Linked DNA regions of Danio rerio. The protein of the gene in region 4 interacts with the protein of the main gene of each other region in a pairwise test. Links are inferred from orthologs where the notes say so. Each region holds a gene or a part of one and is shown on either strand. Other genes may lie near its edges.

Region 1 (4,149 bases), on a different chromosome or scaffold from region 4:
TTTCTTGGTCTGCGCACACCTGCTCTGCTCCTCCTTTAAATATCTTCTCTGCCTCTTTGAGGCCTACTTGCTCTCTTTGTCTCTCCCTTTCTTTGTCTCTCCTTTTACCTCTGGTAACTTTAATTTTACATTTAAGCTAGGTACGATTATTATCATATGTTTTTATCGGTTCGTATTTTATAATTTTACAGTTATTTGTAATTAATTCAGTTGTAACCACTACTTTTGATATAACATCAACACTTAGTTGCTCCATATTGCAATAAAACACAATCACATAATATCAACACACTCCCACATTTTTAGCTATTAATACTGCCCTTATTTCAGTTTTTTTTTTTTTTTTTTTTTTTTGTATGAGATTGCAGAAGATTGGTTTGACTAGAAATATACAGTTTTTTTACCATGCTGATAACTTTAGTCACTCGGCAAAACTAAAGTTTAAACCGCTGTGGTTAAACCCACTCTTACATTAAAACCCCATTTTGATGATGACATCATGTAAACTTCTACAAAGTATTTTACAGTATTTTAAAATACAAAAACACAAGACATTAAAAAATAAAGACATTTTCATAAACCCTATAAAATACAAATGACAAAATACTATTTTGTATGTAAAATACGTACTTTACATGTATTATAATTATCATATATGTGCTATACCTGCTGGCACATATGTGGGAATGATGGGTGGGGAGAACCAGCTCATTTGCATTAAAGGCACAAGCAACAAAGCAAAACAGCCACAGTGTACTCAGACCATAAACTGCCCATATTCAAAAAGATACAATAAATAATCTGATTGATAGTGTAAGCTGTAACTTTAAACACATTCTGGAGAAACCGAAGACCTTTCTTAAATCTTAAAAAGGGGTAAAATAGTAGCCCTTTAACATCTTTATTATCTTTATCTTTATTTCCTTGTTTTTATTTCTTTTTTCCCCAGTTAATTTTTTTTATGTTTACATATCTGAAGATCATTTTTGTGGGTAAATAAATAGGTATAATTACGTATAATTATACTTTTTTTGTAATGTCACAATACATGACATTTTACAAACTTATTTTTTTTTTAAAGTTAAGAGAGACTGAACAAGATAACAGATAATGCCGGGTTTTCACTTTGCCCTTTATATTTGTGTTGCTTCACACCACATGACTTTATTTACTTACTTATTTACTTACTTACTTACCTACTTACTTACTTTAGATGCACCATTTTAATTACGTCAACCACTAGCCATTAGAGTGACAAATAATATCTGCTTGATGTATGCTAACACTTTTTTCAAAGCCCCAAAATAACAATCTACTGCATGCAATTTTCAATTTATTTTACTAACCCTCAACCTAACCTAACAGCCTGGTTGAAATGCAGTTGTAAAGTTATATACAGTTGAAGTCAAAATTATTAGCCCCTCTGAATTATTAGCCCCGTTGTTTATTTTTTCCCCTAGTTTCTGTTTAACAGAGAGAGGATTTTCTTAATACATTTCTAAACATCATAGTTTAATAACTAATTTCTAATAACTGATTTATTTTATATTTGCCATGATGACAGTGAATAATATTTGACGAGCTATTTTTCAAGACACTTCTATACACTTTAAAGTGATATTTAAAGGCTTAACTATGTTAATTAGGTTAACTAGGCAGGTTAGAGTAATTAGGCAAGGTATTGTATAATGTTGGTGTTGTAGTTCTGTAGAAGAAAAAAAATTGCTTAGGGGCTAATAATTTTAACCTTAAAAATGGCTTTAAAAAAATTAAAAGCTGCTTTTATTCAAGTCAAAATAAAACAAATAAGACTTTCTCCAGAAGAAAAAGTATTATCAGACATACTGTGAAAATTTCCTTGTTCTGTTAAACATCACTTGGGAAATATTTAAAAAAGAAAAAAAAAATTCAAAGGGGGCTAATAATTCTGACTTCAACTGTATATACTGAACTGAAGTATATGTTACTTCATATATATATAAGTATACGTTACTTTTGGCCAGCGGAGAAATTAAAATGGTCGTGCCCAACTGAGTCTGGTTCTCTCAAGGTTTTTTTTCTTCACTCCCATCAGGTGAAGTTTTTTTTTCCCTCTCCGCTGTTGCCACTGCCTCGCAAGGTTCAGGATTGGTAGAGCTACGCATCGATGAATTGGCTCTTCAGTGTTTGAACTCTCAGTAATGATTAAATCACACTGAACTGAGCTAAACTGAACTGAACTGAACTTAAACACTAAAACCTGAACCACACTGTTCCAGTTACTGAACCACACTGTTCCAGTTACTATGACCATTTATGTGAAGCTGCTTTGACACAATCTACATTGTAAAAGCGCTATACAAATAAAGCTGAATTGAATTGAATTGAATTGAATTGTTAAATTATTATAGTGAGCAGATCCATAGGAGTAGAGGATTTTTACCAACTATGATCTTGCCAAATCTTTTACACACTCTTCATTTTCATATGCTATCATTAGAGTTAAAAGAAGCTGACCTGAGCTTGGGAACAGAATGACCTGAGAGGACTCCTGATGGTGTCTTCTTTCCACTCTTGTTTCTCTAGTCATTCGTGATGCTACATGGTGCACAGCTCTGTTCCCTGCCTGTCGTGTTGGCAGCTGCAACACTGGCAGAGGAGGCTCATCCAACCCCAAACCTTCAAGGATCCTTCTTTTCAGCCAGCCAAGCACCATGTCACACGGTAATTCATCTCCTTGACAGGCCTGAACCGATGGAGGAGAAAACAAAGCCCACAGCATCAGGGCACAAGCAAATGAAGACAAAGAGCTTGTCCCAGTTAGCATCCTCAAAACTCAACAGAGGTTAAAAGCAGACACTGGAAATTACAAGCGCATAAACGAAAATCGATGTGTATAGAAAGTTTTTAAATATACATATACTGTAAGTTCATAAAGATTTTTTTTTTCTTGAAATTTTTCTGTTAAAAAAAGAGCTCTACAGTAATCCTTCTTCTTGCAGGTCCATGTCATAGTAAAAGAAGTCTGTGATTTTCTATCTTTTCGTTCTTTTTTTTTTTTTTTTTTTGCAAGCAAATAGCAATCATTGTTTGGGTTCCTGCTATCACAGAATGGATGGGACAAAACGACTTTTGAGATTACAGTTCTTTCCCTGTTGCTTGGCCTTGGACGGAATTGACACAGTATAACAAGAGAATTTTGAAAAAGATTTTTTTTTTCCTAGCAGAAAAAGTACATTTACAAATTTGTATCATGCTTTTATTCTCACTGCTTGGAATTCTTAAAGAATGTTAACCCTAAAACTCTAACTGAAAACTCTGTCATCATTTACTCACCCTACAATTGTTCCAAGCCTATTTACTGGTAAATAAAGATTGGAAACTACTTGATGAAAAGGAAATAGTGAGTATATTGACATCTCTTAGTGAACTATCCCTTAAACTCATTCATTAATACATTTTCTTTACGGCTTAGTCCTTTTAATAATCCAGGGTCGCCACAGCGGAATGAAACCGCCAACTTATCCAGCATATGTTTTACACAGCGGATACCCTTCCAGCTGCAACGCATCACCGAAAAACACCCATACACTCTCATTCACACAAACACTACAGACAATTTAGCTTACCCAATTCAGCTAAACTGCATGTCTTTGGACTGTGGGGAAAATCGGTGCACCTATAGGAAACCCACGCAAACATGGGGAGAACATGCAAACTCCATACAGAAATGCCAACTGACCCAGTCGAGGCTCGAACCAGCGGCCTTCTTGCTGTGAGGCAACAGGGCTACCCAGTGCACCTCTGCGCTGCTCCTCCCTTTAACTCAGGATACCCAAATTAAAAACAGAGCATTAAAACATCAATCACGTGAATGTAAATTAAACATGACATCTCCTTTACATTTCCCAGAGATGGGTTGCGGCTAGAAGGCCATCCGCTGCGTAAAAACTTGCTGGATAAGTTGGCGGTTCATTCCACTGTGGCGACCCCGGATTAAGGGACAAAGCCGACAAGAAAATGAATGAATCTCCTTTACAACTTAAAAGTAACTCAAGTGCAAATTACTTTTTTTTTTTTTTTTTGGTAATCTGTTCTCCCAAACCACATGCAAAATAGACTTTTTATATTTAAAAGAACGCTCTACTCTTTTCTTTTTTACCTTTACAT
Region 2 (4,249 bases), on a different chromosome or scaffold from region 4:
CTGATATAAATTGGTGAGCGTATGTGAGATTTCTCCTGAAAACATTTAAAAGCAGCTTCTGACCTACAAAATTGCTTGTTTAGTCATTTTAGTATTATTTTCTAACAGCACCCAAATGCTCACACAGAAGATCCTGCTTTTGTCTCTCCAGGTAAAGACTCGCTTCAAGAAGTTCCTCAAATCCTTGTTTCAGCGCATGTTAGAGGAGCACGGCTCTGCGTTGAGCTCTGCGCCATCGGAAGCAGATCAGCCTGTGATCGCTGGACTGGCAGACGATGGAGCACAGAACGTACCCGTCCACGCTCTGATGGTCAGTCACGGGGCGTTTATCCGCGTATCTGTGCGTCATCTGGTGGAGGATCTGCAGTGCTGTCTGCCCGCAGGTCTTAAGATGAACCAGGTGTTTTCTCCATGTCCAAACACTGGCATCAGCAGGTTCATCTTCACCATCCATAGGGAAGAGAGTGTCCTGCGGGCCACACGCATACAGGGGGTCTTTATCAACAGAAAAGACCACCTGGAGGAAGTCAAAAACTCTGACTGACAGGGCTCACTAAGACTGCTTGATTTGACAGTTTGTATTGCAAACCCAGCAACTGAAGCACATTACAAGTCTGTGTGTTTGATTTTATCATGAGTATTATTTAAATGCAGTTTTGTGAGCTGGCTGAACGTAAACACTCATAAGATGTCTTTTTTGATGTCGTCCATTATTTAAGCACTTTAAAGTTGCACCACCGCAGTTTTGGCCTCTATATTCACACGTAATGTGTACACGTATTCGTTTTCATGCAATAAAAGAAATGCTGAAACTTGAAATCAAGGAAGTTTGATTTGTTTTTGGATTTGTAAGTTAGTAGTAAGTATTTTCCCTTGGAAATGTATACTTTGTGTGCAGAGAAAATATTTGAATGTATTGAAAAGTGTATTGAAATGAATCAAAGTATGCTTGAAATAAAAAAAAAATGGACAGTCAAGTCAGGGAAATGGCGTAGCATATTTCTCACAGTTAAATTAATCATTTTAATTTCTTCTTTTGTTAATTATTGTTTTTAAAAGTGAAGCTAAAGCAGTGATTTTAATGTGAGCTTACAATCACTTAAGATAAACAACAGCATTGTTCATAGACTACTAGCACTTTTAAAAGCAAAAACTATTCATGTATAATTTAGTTATTTTGCTTCTTTACTATATTTATCTAGATTTAAGAATGTTCAGTGTTTACCAATGTGTTTACATGTCTGTGATATAAAATTATATTAGCCTAAAGTAGGCCTAATTGAAACAAAAAAACAAAATATTGAATCAAAAGTCCTTACCTTGGCCATTAAATTGATGTTCTGCTGTTGTTCACCATAATATTAGCGTAGCAATTCTCTCCGACTCGCTCAGAAATTGAAGGTTAAAAACAATACGTCATAAAAAACAACATGTGACGTAAATACACACTTCGTTTGCTGAAAAAGTAATCACGTCAGCGGTCGGAGTGCGTGAACGCGCATGGCAAATTAACGGTCGATGAGTTCAGAATTTTCGCTAATAATACATCAAATTGCGTTTTATTTTTTACCATATACGCTCAGAACACTTGAAATTAATGGATTGTGTCGTGTATGACCATCCTTTAAAACGTTTTATCAAAACTATAGTCATGGACGAGAGCGAGCACGACGTTTTAACTGAATTTTCAAACATGTAACGTTAACTTAGCCTAGATAGTGTGCTTTGTCTGCTGTTTTTTTTCCACAGAGTACAGAAGGACATGACTTGTCTTGAAAAACACCAAGGTAAGTTAAATAATGTCTGCGTTTTATATTTTTTGGTTGACGTTCATTCATTCTTTCATTCAAACTTTATTTATAAAGCACTTAACCACCAAAGTGCAGTAACGTTACAGTCTAACGAGTTAACGAGTCAGATATACGTACACACTATGCACACTATTTAAAACAAACATAAAATCAAGTGCCAAAGGTTAAGGGAAAAGATTTTGAGAGGTTTTGAGATGGGATATGAACAAAGACAACGTTTTTGATGTTATTATTATTGAATATAAGAATAATAACATCACTGCATTGAAGAAAAAAATAATAACAAAAAAACAAACAAACAGAAAACAATACAAACTTTACAAAGCCTCAATTTTTAAGAAAAAAAAGATTATCATAAGCTTTAGGAAACTTATTTTTCTTATTATTAATAATAAGAGATTCAGTTTCTGCAAGTAAAAGTATTAAATCTAGGGACTGCCTTTAGAAACTTATTTTTGTGTGAAAAATATTAAGAGTGGAACAAATAATAATAACAAGAAGATGGAGAGCATGATCATTGCCTGAGAGATACAGAAATATATCTTTTATAGACAAATTTAAATCATATTTAAATAAGGACGATAAATAAAAAATCTTATTCCAAAGACGTGAGTGATTGAGTGCAACTATAGAATAAGTGAAATAAAGTCTCTTCATGTTTATTACAGAAAGTACACAAATTAGATAGTTCAAAATAAATAGCAATTTGGGAATTTGTAGGATATACATATGAAAATCTTAAAATGTATCTCTCTTTGTTGGACATGCTGAATTTTTTAGGTAATAACCATGCTCTCTTCCATTGAATGCTGTCAGAGGAATTGGCCCAGAAATATGTACATCTTTGGGAGGTATAGAGTAATGTAACAATCGTCTGACATGTCGGTTGTCACATTTTTTTTAATCAAAAAAAGAATCTCCATCCAAAAAAAAAAAGTTTAGGTGTAATTGTTTTCCCCTCATTGAAGTAAAGAAACATTTGAAATAAATTCACATAACTTGACATGGCGGCGCAGTAGGTAGTGCTGTCGCCTCACAGCCAAGAAGGTCGCTGGTTCGAGCCTCGGCTGGGTCAGTTGGCATTTCTGTGTGGAGTTTGCATGTTTTCCCTGCGTTCGCATATTCCTCCGGGTGCTCCGGTATCACCCACAGTCCAAAGGCGTGGTACAGGTGAATTGGGTGAGCTAAATTGTCAGTAGTGTATGAGTGTGAATGATTGTGTGTGATTGTTTTCCAGAGATGGGTTGCAGCTGGAAGGGTATTTGCTGCGTAAAGACCATAGACTGTAAAATATAGGTAAAGACGTGCTGGATAAGTTGGCGGTTCATTCCGCTGTGGGGACCCCGGATTAATAAAGACAATAAGCCGAAAATAAAATAAATGTGTGAATGAACTTGGTGACAAAACTATATATAACACAATTGAAGGTTGTGGCTGGCAGACGGAAATTATACCATAAACTCATAAACTCCTCATATTCCAGAATATTGCCATAATTTTTTTAATTAGTCCAAAACAAAAACAAACCACCTATCAATAAAAAGAGATTTCTCATGAATTAAGACTTTAAAGTTATTCCTAAGTATTTCTTTGTGTGGGGAAAATAAACAAAGACAACGAAGGAGCCAGTCTAATGGAAAGTGACGTAATGCATATTAGGGTATACTATTTTCAATTTCATATTTTATTGGATTATATCGATTATGCGATGGTATGTATGTGTAAACCTATTAGTGATCAGAAGGTAAAATATCAAATGTCCATCATAAAAATGGGCATTTGAAGATTGTATTTATATTGATCGTCAGATCCTATGATTTTAGGCTAATTGAATTGTGTCTCCTCATCCAATAGATGGCGCTGTGCTACTGACCTCTGGAGGACAGATGTGCCAACCTGCTGATGGGTAGGAGAATGGGACACGTCTTCTCTGCCGCCCACTCCAACAGGAAACATTCACCATCTTTGGTCCCTCATTTTCTCCGGCGAGGGAAACTTAGTGATCTTCTAAGGCTTGTCATTTTCCTGCCGGTAAGTGGGCGGCAATTTGGTTGAGTTGGTCACGCAGGGGACCTGGACGACTCAAAAGCACTGACTGACGTCCTGCAATCCAAGCAGACGATAGACTAGTTTGTGGCCACACATTCTTCAACTCCTCCAGACGATCCTAAAATATCTGCTCAGACAAATCACATTTCTTACATGCACATGTGTTCATGCTGAAGCTGCCAATGTGCTCATCATCAAAGCTCTGCAGCAGCAGCTTCAGGTATGTTATTGTCCAATATGTTTGTACACTCAAACAGCTGCTGTGTCCATAGACAGGAAAAGGCCACTTCTATATAAAACCCTGCAGTTTTATTTAGTTTCCACAGTTTAGACACCCAAACAAAGCCACGTGCCCACAATGTTTTGTTCTGCTGCAGTTCCACTTAACT
Region 3 (4,285 bases), on a different chromosome or scaffold from region 4:
TTACTTACTGGTTTATTAATCAATTGTTGGGGCATTGCAGATCAAACGACTGAGAATTACACGTTAATAAACTTTCATTTTATTTGGAACATAATAAACAGCAGACGAAACATTCATATCATTACTTGAAGACAAATGATAATGTATATGTTCTAAAATCTGTTTAAAATTTCAAACATGTCTGATATCCTCTGACTAATCATAGCCTGGCGCAAAGGAAAAAAATAATCAATGTCAATAATATAAAATCTGGATCTTTTTTTTTTTTATTTTATTTTTTTTCCTCCAAACTAGCAATGACCCCTCTAGACTTAAAGACAAAGAGAAGAGAGATTTACTTGAACACTTTAACAGTTGTTCATGTGATCCTTCTTCTCATGTCTAGTTTGGTTAGTTCACAAAGTATTACTTTTAGCTTTCTCTCTTAATTCTAAATGTGAATCAATATTGAACTTAAGTGAAATACTTAAACTCTTTAACCCGATGTCTTTAAAAGGCTTTGCATGCTAATCAAATCCAGACAACTAAATTACAGCAGTACAGTCGATTACTGAACATTACTAACCCACTACTGCCTTAATGAATATAAACAAAGATCATCCAGATGCAAATGTTATGGAACTTTTAACTTCATAATAGGGCTGCACAATATATCGCTTTAGCATCGATTTCGCAATGTGATCATTTGCAATAGTCACATCGCATGATAGGCAATGATGAGTTTGTATTATAGTTCATCATGTGCATATGTTTTTGACGCCTGTGATTGTTTAATGTTTTTAAAAGCATTTGGGTATAAGAACTTGAACTATTTGTGACCTTATTGAATGGTTTTTATTTTTATCATTCAGTTACTGTACTTAAATACTGTTAGACCTGGGAAACAACAAACCCCTTTATTTGAATAACATCTTTGTCTTGACTGCATTTACAGATTGTCATGTATGAAAATACTCACAACATATGCAAATACAGAAATGCACTGCAAATAGCAAAGATCACAACAATTGTTTATTTATTTATTAATTTTAGATTTTATAGAGATGCACTCCCACTGCAGAGTCATTCCAGTTGATCTAAGATTAAAAATTGAGTTATTAAGTCATTGATAAAATTGTATTCATATTGCAATATATATATATATATATATATATATATATATATATATATATATATCGCAAAATAAAAAAATATATTTTTATATTTATTTTGGATAAATAACATTTGTATCCCCTTTCATTCATTCATCGTGTTATTTTAATTCCATGTTACACTATTATCTACTTATTTTTATATTAATAACATTCCTTTTTCTTAATAGTATGTCTATGTAAAATATTTTGGCAATATTATATGTAAAAACAGCAGAAAGAATACTTGTTGAATTACCTTGGGTGGATTAAATGGATACGTCTCAGGGATCTTGATTTCTAGTTGATATCTTCCCCCTGTGAGAAAAAAAAACGTTAGCCTGTTATAATCTTATCTCCAGCATTAATCTCCAAGCAAACATTAAAGAAACATCATGTAAAGGCTCTCATTACCTTCATATGGTGTGTCTGGCGGTCCTGCTATTTCTCCCTTTAACTCTGTGAAGTTTTCATCCACCAGATCTACTTTTATTTGATTTTTACTCGTCTGTTAAAAAGCAAAACAAAAATGTATTTAGTAAGGAGTACCATAGTTGCTTGAACAAAGAAACAACCGGTATAGTCAAGTTATGAAGCTGTCTTCTGAACATAATAAGCACCCTTAAAAGACAGTATGATATGAGTCTATGATTCCCAAAAATGCTGTCTGTCAAAGGTGCTGCATTACTTAAAAAAAGAACATCCTAGCTGCCCTGTTAACTGACACCAACACACACAAAAACGTAGGAACACGATCAGTAAACCACTAATGGGCATTTCAAAACAGAAAACCAACCTTAAAACACTGAGTGCGAGTGCTGTTATTGCAGACTATAGAAGTGTTGGTGAAGCTAGCCGGCTAACTATGTCAAATAGCTCCATGGCTTAAGCTCGATGTGTGCCAGCACAAATTTAACAATACTCTGACATGTTCATGAATGAATTAAACATTTAGGTCTATGTTTTCGTTTTATTACATCGAGAGAAGCAAATTTGTCAGAAGTGTGACTTCCGTATCTTAAGTCCATCATATGACAGCTCATGCTAACATTAGCTTAGCATGCTAGGCTAGCTCATTGGGTTTTGTGTGTTCATCGCCAAAAGTCCTTCTGTTTGTTCTTAACGGGCAGGAAAATATAGTAAAGTAGCGTTTTGCAAACCTCTTCGCTTTTCAGCACTTCTTTAAACTCTCGCTTGATCCTCTGCACAGCGATATTTGCCATGGCTGATTGATTCCTCTCTCTCTCACTCTTTCTCTCTCTCTCCTTCTCTCTTCCGCTGTTTTTGAGCCTCCAGTCCGCAAAGAATGATAGAGCTTCACTTTCACACCCCTCTTGCGCTCCTTCGCCCTCTCTCTCTCCCTCCCTCTCTCTCTCCTAAAACAGTACGGAAAGCACCAGAAAAGCACCGGTAAACAAAATAAGAGCCTGGAACACTAAAACACTGCACTACAGCACTGCGTTTGTCCTTCTTTGTTGAATCAGGTGGATGTGTTATGCAGCAGAAAAGCAGAGCTCAGTCTTGACAGATCCAGAATGCGTTCACATCTAGTTTCACTCCCATATGATGTGGTGCTGTCACATGATGTCGTGCTGCTAAAGCTCGGATGCATCTGTTTTACTCCCACGTGATGCGTTCAGAGCATACGGTCCATCATCACCCCTTTCACTGAATTTGCAAACAATTTAGGCCTACACTATTTAAACCAAGTATTAAATCACATGGGTCCTTTTTGATTATTCTAACAGGAACATGAAGATAAATCGTTTGTAGCATACAATATGTATTCACCACCATTATAATACCATGCTAAATCTGAGTTATTTTTATATATATACAACAGTTCTGTCAGGTCCTCGAATCTGATTGGCTGATAGCCGTGATATATTTAAGTAATATCAGCACCAGTACAGCCTCTTTACCTTTTGTGTATTACTCCGCCCACATACAGCCAGCAAAAAGCATATATATTAAAATTAACAAATAAAAAGTTTACACTATGGTGAATAATACAGTGTTTAAAAATAATACAATTGTTTGGTGTGTTGTATGCTATATATATATATATGTGTGTGTGTGTGTGTGTGTGTGTGTGTGTGTGTGTGTGTGTGTGTGTGTGTGTATATATATATATATATATATATATATATATATATATATATATATATATATATATATATATATATATATAAATCTATTAATAAGAACTTTTTTTCGTTTTTCACCTTTCATTTGATAAACAATTTGAAATTAAGTTAAATCAACCATGCTTGAAAAGTTGCATACCAGTTGTCAGTGTGGCAGGGAATGAACAGAGCTCTCTTCCACTTTCAGTACCCGAGACTGAGGTGCCCTTAAGGGTTAGTTCTACCAAAAAATCTGTTATAAGTAATTACTAACAGAATTTTTGGTAGAACTAACCTTTAACATCCTTGTGTTGTTACAACTCCCTGGGACCTTCAACTTCGGAATACAAATTGAGATATTTTATATGCTCAGTGTCAGTAGCTAGTAAGAGCTTGGGGTGACCTAAATCAGTCTAAGCTTGATGTTCTTTGCTGATTGCTCCCCACACATTCCTGTCTCAACTTCCACTATCCAATAAAAATGTGAAAAAAAACCTAAACAATGAAAAAAAAAAATATATTTTACATGACATCTAACACAACACATTTACAGCCTTTAAAGTCAGAAACCCAATCAACATACAAATGTTTTTCATTTCATGTTAATGTTTTAACATGCGGCATAATCTGACAGATGTTTGGTACACAAAAGTCTTCTTGGAGCTTTGTGTGACAGTTGTTTGTATCTCGTATCTGTGTGTGTTTGTGTTCACTTCTCATTGTGGTGATTATGTATTCCCTTGAATGGGTAAAATGTAATTCAACTTCAAAGTATGTGTGACCACATTTGGCCATCACATTATTCATACATCTATCAATTCAGATGCCAATTGACTGCAGATTTTTACTTGATGTTATTTTCTCTATCGATGACCTTTATATTATCTTTAACAGTTGTGTACTTTGCATTTATATTTGTGTTATCTTGTCAATGGGTGAGATTAAGACTGAAACTGCCCTTCTATATTAAAGCCACAGAATAAGATTAGGGAGACAATTAAATATATAGCAAATACAGTTTTAAAATAT
Region 4 (4,158 bases):
TTCAAATGAGATGGTTCCCTTTTCAAAAGAGGGTCAGCAACAAACACATAAAAAGTGATTTTTGCATAACAGACCGCCTTTTAATCACAGACACACCCTTATAACGCAAGTGCTAAGGTGGGTTTATACTAGCATTACACAATCCATATGAATCCAGTTCATTTCCCCCACCTACTGGCTGCTCAAGTTAGATAGTTTCCTCTCTATGCAACCTCCACTTTTCAGGTTACATAACTAAAACATCCACTTTTGCTTTTTTCAAGAACACATATTCAAGAAAATATTAAAAACTGAACCAGCTGCATCAGATCTTTCAGCATTGTCGAACTACAGCTGCCTTATTGAATCATGTCTTTTAATCATATTCGACTTCGGTGTTTGAGATCCAATCATTGAGCTAATAGTACAACCATTTTATAGAAAAATGACTATCTTTAAAAGCTGATTAACACAACAGTAACAAATGTATTATTATTATTATTTGTTTTCTTTTTATTAACACATGAGTCAGTGTTGGTGAGATACAAATTTAATTTTTTTTTTATTATCTAAATAGTGTTTCCAATAATCATTCATTCATCTTGTTTTCAGCTTATTCCCTTTATTAATCTGGGGTCACCACCACAGCGGAATTAACTGCCAACTTATCCAGTTTTCCCAATTCACCTATACCGCATGTCTTTGGACTTGTGGGGAAACTGGAGCACCCGTAGTAAACCCACTCGATCATGGGGAGAACATACAAACTCAACACAGAAATGCCAACTGACCCAGCCTATACTCGAAACAGCAACCTTCTTGCTGTGAGGTGATCGTGCCATCGTGATGCCTTGCAATAATCAAATGTTAATAATACTTTATGTAGAAATATAATATATAAATACCCAATTTATATGGGAAAAATCTTGGAACGTTGTAAATTTATATTGAGCAACTTTATTACATTTTCAATAATGTAATAACATTTATTTATTGCATTTTTACTTTTTCTATATTTTTTATCATTTGTTTTAAGCTACAACTTGCATTTGTTTTTTTAATCTACTGTTAATTAATTGTTTTATTAAATTTAGATCACTTGTTAAAATCATATTTCAGTTTTTTATTTATTGTTTTAAAATCCTATGATATGTAGTTTATTTTTATCCAGTTTTATTCAATTTTTGTTTTATACCAAAGTGCTAATTTGTCTAAATAAAATATTATATTCTTATAACTCCTAATCTGAGGACAGTACTTCTTCCATCTGTGTGTTGTTGGCCCAACGTTGTTCTCCTTCCCGCGTTCATGTGTCTGAAGCGCGTTCGCGTATCCTTGCAGCGCCGTTCCCGTGAAAATATATTTCAACAGCTTCAGTCAGTGCGCGACACCGAGACTGCCGGGCGACAGCAGCGTCTCTTTTTAGCGAATGTGGAAACACAAACAACCAAACGATTAACGGACATATAACCTAACGCTGCCCGACGTGTGGTGAATTATTTTTTACAATTAATTCGTTTGGCAGCAGAGGGATATTTTCTGGAGGTAAGTGCAATGTTTAAATCCTCCACTCGAGGATAATGGATCTGTTGTTGATTTTACTAGGCTTAGCGAGCTAGCTAGCTTAAAAAGCGGCTAGCCGACCATGCTATCAACAATTTTACTGCATTCCTCAGCAAAACACATCTTGTGAGTTCATTTTTTTCTTTAACACAATGTGATTCGCTGTGTGGTTCTTATCCAGTAACAAAATGCTTTTTAAATATTTTAAACGCCGATATATGGTCCATGTAGCCATTATTAGCCTGCCTTTGCTAGCTTTATATGCTTGTGCTAAGTGAGAAACACTGTTTATGTGACGAAATCAAATGTAATGCAACCAGTGCAGTGTTTTCCAATCGTAATTAGCGTATGTGTGCAGACGTGTTATTTCTGTTTATATTTCAGTCCTAAGATTAAGACCTCGTTTATTGTCAACGGATCATTTTTGACTGTTTCTAGCCATACAGAGATGGCTTGACTGACAGAAACTGTATTAGTTTGCGGTGCAAAAGCAGCCTCACATTATAAAAGTTAACTTGAACACAGAGACCGATACCAACATGTGCTACAGAAAACATTTTATCACTGGTTATGGTCAATATAACATATGGTGGTGTTGATTTAGAAGTCAGCCCAAAAGAAAAACATGCATAACGTTAAGGCTAACCATCAGCCGACACTGTGTGTAGGGTCGACACGATCAGATCGAGCATGTTACAGTAAAATCATCAGATGTGCTTGTGCATGTGACACCTAAAGGAGCTTAATGTCGTGAATGCTACACATGGGATTTATTTTAAGCTTTCGTGCTCGCAGACGCCTTGAACTTGGCTGCTCGATCACCACTCCGATTTGTTTACAAAGCGGCTGCAATTCGCCATGGAGATCCTATGCTTACATCGTTGTTGCGACTCAATTAGACGGTACTGTTTTTGTTGTTCTTTATCCTTAAGGATCCGTTTTAGCACCTCCCCTATCAATTACAGTAAACGAGGTTAAGTTGCAGGTGGTTGAAGCAATAGCTAGATAGGATAGGGTCAAATCCCTTCTGTAACTAACCCTGTTGTACTAAAGGTAATCTTGTTGTGAAGATGTTTTGATGCATAAATGATGCAATTTCGTGGATGTGACTTTTGCAGTAATATCTTAAAACTTAAATTTACATAGAAAGTATATGTTAACATTATATCGAAACATCTGTTTATATTTTCCAAAACAGCTCACCACTGAGATATGGGAGCAAAAAATATCAATCTGTAATTAAAAAAAAATTTAAATGAGCTAAATAAACATACGTTTTGGATCTGACTAAAGAAGTCTGCAAGTTTACAGTATACAACATTCTTTATAGAAATTCTGTGAATGAAACGGCACAACCCCAAAGAAACAATGCTAATCACAAGGAGAAGAGTTGGCTTAATGTAGAACAAAAATTATTGATTTTATTTTACATTTTTGCATTTATGAAGAAAGAGCTTCGTTATGAATATGACATTTCTCAATTATGGATGTGATGGATGTGAAATTAGCACTTGTGTGACTTTGGTTAATCAAATATAATTGTTGAAAAACATTGACAGAAAGATTTTTAATGTGTTTTTTACTATGCAGTAAAATACAGGCCTACACAAACATAGAAAGGGGTTCACTACTTTGGTGAAAACATAATTCATTTTTAATGGCAAGGTTAACATTTGCATGAAATTGTTCAAAATAAATCCAGGTTTTTAGAAAAGCTTATTTTTAAAAAGAACTGCTGAATGTTAGAAATGTCATGAGGTTAAACACATTTTTTTTTTTTTTGGTTTCATCCTTGTCCAGGTGCTTGGTAATGCAATCCTTCACCTTCATTTGTGAGGTGTGAGGAGAATGAACTGTATACATATTATGTTTGGAAGCATTCTTCACAACGTTTTTTGTTATTATTGTTTATAAGCTCTTCATATACAAATGTAGGCTCTCTGGCGGGATCTTTTTATGCTTACAAGCACAGAATGACTTAAATATGTCTTTAACTATTATATATATATATATATATATATATATATATATATATATATATATATATATATATATATATATTACTAACAATAGCAGTAGTTGTAGTAAAATTTGTAATAATTAAATGATCTGGGTAGGGCTGCACAATATATTGTTTCAGCATTAATGTGTGAATACGCAATAGTCATTTGCAGTTGTAATTTGTTGATTATATTTTATGCACTCCTCAACAAAACCATCCCAATGTGTCTAAAATTATTAATTAAGCTATCTTGAGATAAATGGCAATATAAAGTGCAGAAAATGTAAATATCGCAATGTACATTTTTTCCAATATCCTGCAGCTGTATATCTGGGGATATATTCCTTATAAACAAAAAAACTAAACATTTTTGAATAGATGGTTTTTAGTTAAAAATGTCAATTTGTTGCTAGGATTTTAAACTATTTCTTATGTCTTTCTTAAAACCATGTCAAGTTGATTCTTCAACCCTTTACCTATCCCACCAAGAAAAAAAATATTTGGATTACATTTCTCAACTCGTAATGTCATAATTAACACACTCAATGTATTTTTTTTTTCAACACATCCTATAAATTCTGAAATATCAATCTCTACCAAATGTTTGAAATGTT

The links. The genes of interacting proteins can lie anywhere in the genome.
Region 1: the proteins of siah1 (region 4) and inha interact in binary tests that used the Homo sapiens proteins (3 or more experiments, as listed by UniProt). The two-hybrid records come from large-scale screens. The link is inferred for Danio rerio from reciprocal best matches to the Homo sapiens genes SIAH1 and INHA.
Region 2: the proteins of siah1 (region 4) and rad51ap1 interact in binary tests that used the Homo sapiens proteins (3 or more experiments, as listed by UniProt). The two-hybrid records come from large-scale screens. The link is inferred for Danio rerio from reciprocal best matches to the Homo sapiens genes SIAH1 and RAD51AP1.
Region 3: the proteins of siah1 (region 4) and ube2kb interact in binary tests that used the Homo sapiens proteins (3 or more experiments, as listed by UniProt). The link is inferred for Danio rerio from reciprocal best matches to the Homo sapiens genes SIAH1 and UBE2K.

The regions. Positions count from the first base shown.
Region 1 is NC_133181.1:19,535,326-19,539,474, forward strand, and holds the start of inha (inhibin alpha chain precursor), read right to left. Parts: upstream 2,807-4,149; coding exon 2,497-2,806; intron 1-2,496. UniProt on the Homo sapiens protein: Inhibins and activins inhibit and activate, respectively, the secretion of follitropin by the pituitary gland.
Region 2 is NC_133179.1:5,640,190-5,644,438, reverse strand, and holds the start of rad51ap1 (RAD51-associated protein 1), read left to right. Parts: upstream 1-1,443; 5' UTR 1,444-1,787; exon of another isoform or gene 1,788-1,844; intron 1,845-3,665; 5' UTR 3,666-3,842; intron 3,843-3,926; 5' UTR 3,927-4,027; coding exon 4,028-4,080; intron 4,081-4,249. UniProt on the Homo sapiens protein: Structure-specific DNA-binding protein involved in DNA repair by promoting RAD51-mediated homologous recombination.
Region 3 is NC_133176.1:24,896,113-24,900,397, reverse strand, and holds the start of ube2kb (ubiquitin-conjugating enzyme E2Kb (UBC1 homolog, yeast)), read right to left. Parts: upstream 2,807-4,285; 5' UTR 2,354-2,806; coding exon 2,291-2,353; intron 1,639-2,290; coding exon 1,545-1,638; intron 1,449-1,544; coding exon 1,390-1,448; intron 1-1,389. UniProt on the Homo sapiens protein: Accepts ubiquitin from the E1 complex and catalyzes its covalent attachment to other proteins. In vitro, in the presence or in the absence of BRCA1-BARD1 E3 ubiquitin-protein ligase complex, catalyzes the synthesis of 'Lys-48'-linked polyubiquitin chains.
Region 4 is NC_133193.1:19,824,808-19,828,965, forward strand, and holds the start of siah1 (E3 ubiquitin-protein ligase Siah1), read left to right. Parts: upstream 1-1,358; 5' UTR 1,359-1,524; intron 1,525-4,158. UniProt on the Homo sapiens protein: E3 ubiquitin-protein ligase that mediates ubiquitination and subsequent proteasomal degradation of target proteins.